Linked DNA regions of Drosophila melanogaster. The protein of the gene in region 2 interacts with the protein of the main gene of each other region in a pairwise test. Each region holds a gene or a part of one and is shown on either strand. Other genes may lie near its edges.

Region 1 (4,865 bases), about 10 Mb from region 2:
TCAAGTTAAAAAAAATGCTACTTCTTATTTCTCAGTGTATTTGAATGGCATTGCGTTTTATTTGTCATTTCCGGTTTGTGCCGGAAGTTAAAATTATTGAAATCAAACGGAAATGCATCGAAGCAAATGCGTAAAAAAGCGGGAGCCGAAAAATATGATTAACCCATTTAAAATTATGGCAAATATTTGAATTGATTCTCAGACCTTATTAAAAGTGTTATGTCATTAAATTTCTCATTTAACTTGTATGTATATTTATGTATATAAATGGAGTTAAGATTTCGAACCGCTAATAATTTAAAATACAATAATATTATTCACGTCTGCGCTTCAGTAGGTTAAGTCCCGACTCCGATAGAACAACGATCCATCAGCGTATATGTCTGTGAATATATATATGCTGTGCGCAGCCCATAAATAAATATATAAATTTAAATAAAGGCCGCCGCAATACCCGCACACTCACAGTTTGTTTGTCAATAAATCAGAATACTTATCAACGTCAAAGTACCGCAAAGAATGTGAGCAAACAATAAGAACTAAATGTGTGTGTGTTTCAGGAGGTCCATCAGTTTATTGGGAACTATTAAAGTTATTTATGAAAATAAATGGAATACCTACAACTTAAAAATAAAACCTTTCATTGAGCTACAAACATTTCTACACAGTGCCTAAATTATTCGACAAATGCGCCTCTATCTTGACTCCAGCAGGCATTGTGGGTGCCAATTTATGGGCAATCTGTGCTTATTTTCCCATTTCCCAGCCCAACATTGTTTTGGGCCTAGTCCCGAACTAAGTCCGCTAATTGCGCCGCCTTAGCCGGGCCATCTCGACCGGGTTTCGGGGAAGGCCCCGTCCATAATTATGCGAAATGTGCGCCATTTCTTCGGACTGTTGCCTGTTATTGTTTGCATTATTAGCTGACAATTTCGGTGGCACTGTGATGCCAAGTGGTGGGTCTGTGATTAGGCCGGCTCTTTGGGCTCTGGAAATTGTGGGATTAGCAGGCGCTTTGTCTGTGGCTAGAATCTTGGTCGGGCACCATCAGCCTGTCGCTCGATAAGCGCTCCAGGGCAACTCGAGTCCAAGAAGTTGATGTTTTTCTTGCATGATTACGACCATAAGCCAACGGCGTGTTATTGCAGGCCAAAGAAGTGGACGGTTTTCTTGGGAAACGCCCGAGTTCAAATCGATTGAACCAATGTTGCTCTTTAAATTGGTTTAATTTAGACATTTATTGTATCTCAACTTCCTGGAAGCAACTTGATTAAATTTCCTAATTTAAATAACCGGAACTATTGGACAGCAACTAATTCTGAAGAGCAAAGGCCATCTAAAATATCGCTTGATTTCTTAGCTATCACTAATGTGACTATCAATTCGAGGAAATGAAATTTTGTAGAATTAATAAAAGTCGTGTGTTATTAAGAAAATATTAAAACGTATTATATTTATTGTTTGAATACCAGAACGTTTCTTATTCCGAGCACATATTGTAGCGTTTGCCCCTCGCTTTTGGCATTTAAAATGGAGCAAATATTTTAGAATTCACCTGAATCGCATGCAAAAGCCTTTGTCAACATCAATGGTCCGCTGTGACCACGCTCTTTGTTGTAGTTTTTTGTGAATGCGCAATTGTTCAGTGTCGTCATGGCTGTGGCATGCACAAAGCGCCGATTGCAACGCCCATCCATCCACCCAGCAACCCCCCCCCCCCCCCACCTACTAAAGCTTTCAGGATATGCCATCCAACTACCAACTACCATACCGACCAAAACGCTTTTTTTTCGGCGCTGACATGTCCAGGCACTGGGGCAAAAACAAACCCATATATGTATATTCAATAGGCCGGGCGCTGCCAGAGTGTTTTCCGACGTTTTTCTGTAATTCGTTGTAGGTTTTTTCCAAGTTGGCTTTCGGCCGGTCCGAAAAAAGCGGCCTGCCTACATAAAGGCGCTAGCATATTAAAGGCTTAAACCCACTCAACGGCAGATGCCATATTGTTGAAATATATGCAGATACGTCGCGCATACGTCATGTGAAGATGGAATCCGGTTTGCAAAATGCATTCCATTCAAGCAGCGTTCTGTGATTTTTCATTGCAATCGGTTAAGCAATCGAATCCACCAGATTTATGTATTGTAAGCATATATTTCCATTCAAAGCTCAAAGCGATTTTCACCTTACCTGCACAACAAAAACACTACACTAGGGTGTGATCGTAGAGCTCGGTTTTTCAAATTTCGATCGAAGTGGGCCTGGATTATTGTGCAATGCTGTCGTCCTACTGTTATATCTCATTCAGTTTCCTGTTTCGCTCCGAATAACTTCCAAATTGAACAGTAAAAATTTGTAACAAAAATAAAGTATAATATTTTTCTAGAAATTTTATTTTGGAAAACTTAAGTCGAAAACATGTGCTCTCCGTGCGGTCCTTGTAGTCCATGCGATCCCTGCTGCGGTCCCTTCGAGTGCTCACCCAAGTGCTATAATGCCGCCCAATTGGAGGCCTTGCCACAATGTGCTCCACGTATTCCACCTCCCTTCCCCAAATGCATCACCGTGCAGCAACCACCACGCATGATCTGCAAGAAACGCGTGGTGTTCACGGAGAAGATTGTGCCGGAGCCAATGGTGGTTAACCGATGCAGACAGATTACCATTCCAAAGGTCGTTGATGCCACGCGGGTGATCAAGGTGCCCAAGCTGATTTGGGTGTCGCAGATGGTGCGAGAACCCAGAGTAATCTACTACCCCTCGATGATCCCCGATCCCTATGTGGTGTGCTATCCCAAGCGCGTCTGCGAACCCCGGGAGGTGTGTCAGTCGATCCTGTGCCAGCCGAAGCCACAGACCATCGACATTCCGCCGCCAAGGGAGTACTGCTGCTATCCAAATGGACCCATCAACTACAAGCCCAGTGCAGCGTGCCCACCCTGCCCCATTGGACCATGTGCTCCTGGAGGACCCTGCTGTCCGCTGCCCTGCTTCTCCACAAACCAGTATCCCGTTGCCGAGGGTAGGTGCGGACCCTGTGGACCTTGCGGTCCAGGATGCGGACCCTGCGGTCCGCGATGTGGTCCCTGCGGACCCGGCCCGTGCGGACCCTGTGGGCCGAGATGCGGTCCGGGTGGACCGTGCGCCGTGCCCAATTGCGGGCCCTGCGGCCTCACAATGCCGTCGGGTCCGTTTGTCCCGGCTCCGTGTGGACCCTGTGCTCCATGCGGGCCATGTGGACCGCTCGGCAATAGTCCTTGCGGTCCTTGCGGACCCTGCGGACCCTGTTCGCCCCCGTGTCCGTACGAGTCACCCGAGTGCGGCCCCTGCTACCCGTGCGCCCCAACTCCCTGGAATACCCACTGCGGCCCAGTTGGTCCTTGCGGTCCTCAAGTGCCTTGTGGACCCAGCGGCCCCTGTTAACATCATCGTTGTGCTGCCTGGATTGTTGTCAGAAACCGGTGCCCAGTGGACCAACTTGTCTATCACCAATACAGATTGCCATAGTGTATTCTCGCCGTTCTGCTCAAACACCACCAAAAAAGTCTACAGTTCTCTATACTTTGTCAACGCATGGACGACTCATTGGCTGTAAATAAAAATCGGATTTATGCATATATAAGGTTTTTTCAATTTCTTTTGACAGGTTATGCAATGGTTTCTATCCAGATAAAATTTTCTACCAAATTTTTGTCAAATAGTAGGCCTTGCCTCTGCTTGTCAATCTACCTATGTTCGTTACTCAGGCTTAGCTCGCATTTTGAATCCGGTTTCGCTTCGATACACTTCTAAATTTCTCTGATCAAATTTTATAAGAAACAAAAAACAAAAATTAACTTTTTACTCTTTCGGTTTATTCTAGTCGAAACTTAAAATGTGCTCTCCGTGCGGTCCTTGTAGTCCATGCGATCCCTGCTGCGGTCCCTTCGAGTGCTCACCCAAGTGCTACAATGCCGCCCAATTGGAGGCCTTGCCACAATGTGCTCCACGTATTCCACCACCCTTCCCCAAATGCATCACCGTGCAGCAACCACCACGCATGATCTGCAAGAAACGCGTTGTGTTCACGGAGAAGATTGTGCCGGAGCCAATGGTGGTTAACCGATGCAGGCAGATCACCATTCCAAAGGTCGTTGATGCCACGCGGGTGATCAAGGTGCCCAAGCTGATTTGGGTGTCGCAGATGGTGCGAGAACCCAGAGTAATCTACTACCCCTCGATGATCCCCGACCCCTATGTGGTGTGCTATCCCAAGCGCGTCTGCGAACCACGTGAGGTGTGTCAGTCGATCCTCTGCCAGCCGAAGCCCCAAACCATCGACATTCCGCCGCCGAGGGAGTACTGCTGCTATCCAAATGGACCCATCAACTACAAGCCCAGTGCAGCGTGCCCACCCTGCCCCATTGGACCATGTGCTCCTGGAGGACCCTGCTGTCCGCTGCCCTGCTTCTCCACAAACCAATACCCAGTGGCTGAGGGCAGATGCGGACCATGTGGACCCTGTGGACCCGGATGCGGACCTTGCGGACCCTGCGGACCTTGGGGACCAGGATGCGGTCCTTGCGGACCCTGTGGACCCTGCGGACCCTTCGGACCAGGCTGTGGTCCATGCGGACCGTGTGGACCCTGCGGACCTGGCCCTTGTGGCTTCGGTCCTTGCGGACCATGCTGATCTGTAAAACAGCTGGAAAGATCTACTTGACGTCTGCCAAAAACATTTTGTGACAACTCCGCGTTATGGAAGTCCACATCCGCGCTCAATTATATGACAGTCCAAATTAACTTTGCAAGTTTTGTAAATTAAAGAAGTGCATTGATACAATATTTAAACCACATTTTTTCTTCGGGCATTTGTTTCGGAAATT
Region 2 (6,044 bases):
TTTTGACCTTAACACATCACGTGCTTGTCAAAAATATCCAACACTCAAAGCCCACAAAAATTTGTACACTTCTGTTGCATATTTCTCAATTGGCTTGAGTTGTCGTCGCTGTTATCGCTTTTATCTGTCAGCTTATCGCAGCCATCATGAGATTTGGCGTAAATTGTCACAGCCACTCCAGGCCAGCCTTCCTTCACCAGTGCATTTCCTTTACTTTGGATGCCTTTGGCAGAGTTACAGAGAAATAAATAAGTAATATTACTAATATGCATACGAATCAATGCATAGTTATTAAATATATCGAACAAATATCTGCAGTATCTTATTTGTAGTTTAACTATCAAAGTCCCATATAACAATAGTTTTAGTTTGGGAATTGATCTAGGTACAAATTAAAAATATTTTTATTATAATACTAAAAACCATTTAATTAATAGAATATTACTTTAGTTTGTCTTAATTCAACTACAAATTTGTTCTCAGCGTATGACAGCTGAAAACAGAAAGATAAACGCGTTTCTGGCTGTCGAAACTCTTATTCCATTGCTGATAGCCTGCTCACGTGCAGTGTCTTCGGCTCGCAACACTCGCACACCCGCAACACTCGCACAGTCGCCGGCACACACACACACTGGCACACGAAGGGGAGCGATTGGATTTCCGGCGGAGATGAGAGCAAGCTACGTGGGCGGGGGGAGTGGCAGGTGGAGTCTGGGAGTGCCAGGAGCTGTATTTGGCCGCCAGCATTTTCCGATGTTGCCGCTTACTTTGTAAGTGTGCGTGTGTGTGCGTTTGTGTGTGTGTCTGGGCGGCTGACGTCATTGAGCTTTTTATTGATTTTCATTTTAACCAAAAAAAAAAAAGAAAAAACAAGAAGAAAACATACTTGGGCTAGGACGCAGGGCAGGAAGGCCAACAGATGTCATCCAAGAAAAGTCGAAATGCGCAATTAAAGAGAGAGAGAGAGAGACTGCAAAGGGGGCTTTCTCGAAGGAAGTTTTTGACAAGAATTTCTTGGGGCCAGCGAATGCTGTGTTGTAAGGTAATTACAAGGAAGAGATGCTTTACAATTTCTAAGAGTTAACTTTAGTTGATTTCAAGCTGCACGTGAATAAAAGCACTTCAAATACAAGTGAAAGCCCACAAACGTATTATGGTGTAATTTAATTTATTGTTTGCAAGCTCAACTGCGTAATCAGGCTGTTTATATAAGTGTACACATATAAACCTGATGTATTTTGATTTTTCTATTATTGTTTGTCAAACAATCGTTATGGCTGATTTTGTTATTTTTGTTGCCTGGTGAAAGCTATGGAAATTAGGTCTATTTGCACAGGCAATTAAAGACTGCCTGGTTTTGGATGAGCACAAATTTAAATTTAAGTTGAATTATAACATATTTTAAAAAAAAATTATAATTACTTAAGGCATTGGTTATCATAACAAAATATTGTGCTACATCACAAACAAAATGCATATTTGTTCGAAAGGGTGTTTTTAAAAAACTTCTACCTCTGTCATATAAATTTAATTAAAAAAAAGTATGTGATTTAATTGAAATTAAAAAAAAATTCTTTAAATTTATTTTACAACAATGATTTTAATACGTATTTATTTTAATAGAAAAATATACATATTTTTGAAAATCTACATCTACAACTAAAGCGACACCTGCCGGCGCGCCACTACAATTCAATTGTGCGGCGAATTAGAAACTTCGCTGTATTAGCCAAGGCAACCACCGGAAATAGTCATAAATTTAGCCGATTCAGCTACCATTGTACCAAAGTACGCCTTTCGTCTTCTCTAAAAACCTGCGCAGAATTAATACGCTTTCTATCTTTCGCTCTTCTACGGGATATGTCAAAGTGACAAGACCATTAAGGCAGACAATGTGAAAGCTATATAAGCGACAAGAGAGCGAAAAACAAACAGATAAAGATAAAGCCACCCCCAAAAAGCCGCCCCTTGCCGTAAAACACGGACCCCCACCAAATGGAAGACAGCCAAACAACCCCCGAAAAAGCAAGGAAAAAATTCAGGAAAAATACCTGAATGAGATTATGATGGGCCTTGAACGAAATGCAAGGGCCAGGGAAAATTGAGAATTTTATTTCAGGCGGGGGGTTAATATTAAGGAGATGCACCACCCACAACAAGCACTTAATAACAAATGTGTGCGTGTGTGTGGGCGCTCTCGCAGGACTTCCGTTCGCTCTTTTCTACGCTCTCTTGGATGCTTTTTGGATCTGCGCGCAGCAATCTCAACGAGATGGGGCGAAAATCTCTAATAAGGATGCCCGATGATGAAAAATTCATGGCCTGGCATCGCACGCATCCTGCGCTGGCTCCTGAGTAAACGAAAACACTCCGACTCAGTCACACGCAGCGAACACAGAGGCCAGCGATATATATAGTGAAAACCCCGAAAAATATAGCCAAATTGAGACCAATATCTGAAATTGTGCGATAAATAAAACGCTGCATACCCCGCAGGGCGCAGCCAACTTATTCCGAAGCCAAATCGAGAAATTCTTCGAAACGCGAGTGCCACCAAAAATTTATTGTTTCGAATTCGCAGCCAGTGATTGTATAATTTCCATTGCTTTGCTATTTTTACGGGTGTGGGCCGTCCAACGGCAGCGGCAAAGAGGATATATCTATCTACATATATCTTCCAGGATATACGGATTAACCCAATCTGCGCCAGAGATAATTACCGAAAATCGACAAATTCCCGGGCATAAAAACTTAATTGACTTGAATAAATAATTTCCAACCCGAGTTGTTGTTGTTTGTTCGCCTACGGTTTTTTTCGGTGAAAGCGAATGCGGGCCCAAAGCGGAATCGGAAAAAGTTACTGAAATACAACGGCAGGAAAAAAAAACGAATACATAGAGAAACTGCCGCTGCCGTTGCCGCCTGTGAAAGCAAAGAGAAGGGGGTGGAGAAGGAGCGTGGGCAAAAAGAGAGCGAGAGGAAGAAAGCGCGGAGGAGGTCGCGGAGTTGGAGAAAGGGGGCTCGAGGAGTAAGAGAAAGCAGCCATTACTGCGAAAGAGAGCCAGAGTCGGAAGAGAAAGTCCAAGAGACAACATCGCAATTTTGTGGAAGACATTCACAGTGGATGGAAAATTTATAAACAAAAGTTAAGCCCTTAAGAGAATGCTGACAAAATAAAAAAAAAACGCACGATAAATATATTTTAGAAATGTAACTTAAAAGAAAAGACTCATATCAACACATATCATTCTATAGTCTATAGAAAATATTAAATAACTAAATATACAACAACAAAAAAAGCTGAGACAAGCAGCTAAATAATTCCAGCAATTACCTAAAAACCAAAACGATATTTTATTGTCTTAAAAGAATAGAAACCAATGCGATAACCATACATATCATGTAAATCGTTTAATGCCAAAAGGTGAAATATGAAAAGTATATTAAATTAGCACATTTAAAAGAAATGTAATTCAAGAAATTAAAAAAATCTACGAATGGAAACGTAAACATATCATGTAAAACGCCTAAAAAGCTTGCTGAATCCCTAATCAAGCTTTTTTATCTTATCAACAAAATAAAAAACAAAACAAATGAACTAGCCTAAGGAGAGTTGTGCAAATTATCGCATACATATCAAAGCTCTTGCAAAGAGCAAATATAAATATTAAATTTACAATTATCTAAGATCTAGTTACCTTAGAAAATCCAAAAGAACAGTAATTTTTGTTAGAAGTTTTACATTAGTTGTCTCGAATATAACAAGAGAGAGATATATACATACAACAATATTGTCACATATCATTGAGGAAGCCTCAGCAAAAGTCTAAAACTATAACGACTAGAAAACATATCAATTAAATTAGACTGCGTGTTTATGAATGCTACGCGAAAATATTAATTACTTTATCAAGCGGACCAATTGCAAATGACGAGAAGACTTCATTGAATTCCAGACGACGGATTGAAAAATAACTAAAGTTCTTAAAAGGTAAGTTTTCACAATAATGAAACCATTAACTGAAAATGGTGGGCTTCTGTGGAATAAACGTAAAGGATTGTGTCATCTGAAACGATATATTAATATTAATTAGAAACAGAATATAACATTTTGCTATGATGTTTCCGTGCATTAGTCAACGGTAACGTTGTGGTGAAAATTGGCCTACACTAATTGACATTCTCTCTTTACGTCAAAGGGCTCTTAATTAGAAAATCAAATCCGAGAATGCTTTTGTGGTTTTGGCGAGCCGCCTCCCCACCAGATGTATTTCCATACGCCGAAAGCAATCATAAACTTTTAGCCCTAAGCGTGTGAGCTTAGGTAATCCACAAAACAGCCCAAAAATAAAACCGTTCGGGACCCCAACATTTTATGCGCCAATGGGTCTGGAGGGTATTCGTGTTTCGCTAAACCATAATGAGCCTGTCGAAGTGAAATTTGTTGCTGCAGCGCCTAGGATCATGCCACAAACATCTGCAAGCACCAACATACGGGACAAAATCAATAGGCGGCCATGTGTGTGTGTGCATGTGTGCGTGTGTAGGTAAACAGCTAGAAAAATCAACCGACACACACGCAAGAGGCGGTGGAAAAGCGAGTGTGTGTGGAAGGAGTGAGAGAGAGAGAGAGGGGATTTTCTCCTTCGTCTCCACGCGCGCTATTAAAATTTTCATTTTTATGATTATCGCTTGTGAAAATCCGCAACAATTGTGCCGGTTCACACGATGCAAAAGGGACTAAGCACACGACGCACAGGCAGGCAGCAGGACACCTACGATGATGAAGCCGCGAGCCAGGGAATACAGTGCGTATGCGTGTTATTTCTCCGCGACTGAGCAAATGTTTAACTTTGGGCATAAAATTAAATTTAATTTTCAATTATCGCGGCTGGCAACGGTTTGGTTTTGGCCTTGCAGGAACAACTGCACCCCACGGCGGAATAACGAAGCGATTAAAAAAAATGCTCCAACTGGCCGAGAACTGGAGTTTCAGTTGGCTCACCTTTTGGCCATTAGAGCTGTGGCCACTTTAAGGCCGCTCTCGCTGCAGCTGGCTCACTTTGGGGCATCAAAAATTCATCTTGCCGGCATCCAGAGCTCTCCATCAGCCAGCGGCCAGTAGCATCTGCTGACTTTTCGCCATTTCGCGCGCACTTTCCCATTTTCCCCGCACTCACTTTTTGCCATTTTCTTCTTGGCCTGGCCTTCCATCTCCACTGGCCAGTTCTGGCCGAATCCCCCTTGCGCTGCACACTTTCGGGCGCCAGCACCTAATGAGTGCAAAAATGAGCTTCGGGAAATGCTGAACGGCAGCAGCAACAAAGTGGCGCTGGGAACATGAAAGGACACTCTCCCAGTAGCCTTGGATATCATAATTACACTGAGCTCATCCTCAGTCAACTATGTAATAAATACGCCCTTTAAAGTGGCTTTTTATGAAAGGAGGTGTTAATGAAAGGGAGAAGCTCGCCATTTGTGCAGCAATTCATTTGGCTTAAAGTTCACATTCGTATGTATTAAATAAAAATATATTGGAGATTCAATAGCATTTCATATTTTACATGTAAGTTCTTCAACTTTCGTCTTAAAAACTCTGCAGCTACGAAAATGTAATGACCCAAATATGCAAGCTTTTTTATGTAGATTCATTCCAATGAAAATACTCAGTTTAAAGTTACTTTACTTCCGTTGCGAAATGCGTCGCCTTCTTTTGGCCAACTTAAAGTAGCCAGGGCAGGGCTTTTTTAGCCAACGTAATGCCAACGGAACTTTCCACCAAAGTGGGTGAAGGTAATTTTCCACGTAGTCGTGTCGACATTTCATGCAAATTGTTTTTTTTTTCTTTTTGTGCAGATTCTCAGGCTTGTTCTCGTTCTGTTGCGTGAGCTTATTTTCTTGATGTTTTCAGCGCTACACTTATTTAAAGTTTCGCAGGATGGAGTGCTGGATAGAGCGGCATTTAAGCGGTATTCATGAAGTCCTCAACATTTTGCTAAGCTCAAAACTTGAGTGAGTGCATGGTTTATGGCATTTCTGGGCGC

What was found.
Region 1: the proteins of cpo (region 2) and Mst98Ca interact in a two-hybrid assay, tested with the Drosophila melanogaster proteins (one large-scale study listed by BioGRID).

What each region holds. Positions count from the first base shown.
Region 1 is NT_033777.3:28,289,041-28,293,905, forward strand, and holds Mst98Ca (Male-specific RNA 98Ca), read left to right. Parts: upstream 1-2,297; 5' UTR 2,298-2,418; coding exon 2,419-3,423; 3' UTR 3,424-3,616; downstream 3,617-4,865. Other genes in the region: Mst98Cb (Male-specific RNA 98Cb), read left to right, coding at 3,875-4,672.
Region 2 is NT_033777.3:17,917,479-17,923,522, forward strand, and holds the start of cpo (couch potato), read left to right. Parts: upstream 1-2,353; 5' UTR 2,354-3,991; intron 3,992-6,044. UniProt on the Drosophila melanogaster protein: May play a role in the development or function of the peripheral nervous system by regulating the processing of nervous system-specific transcripts.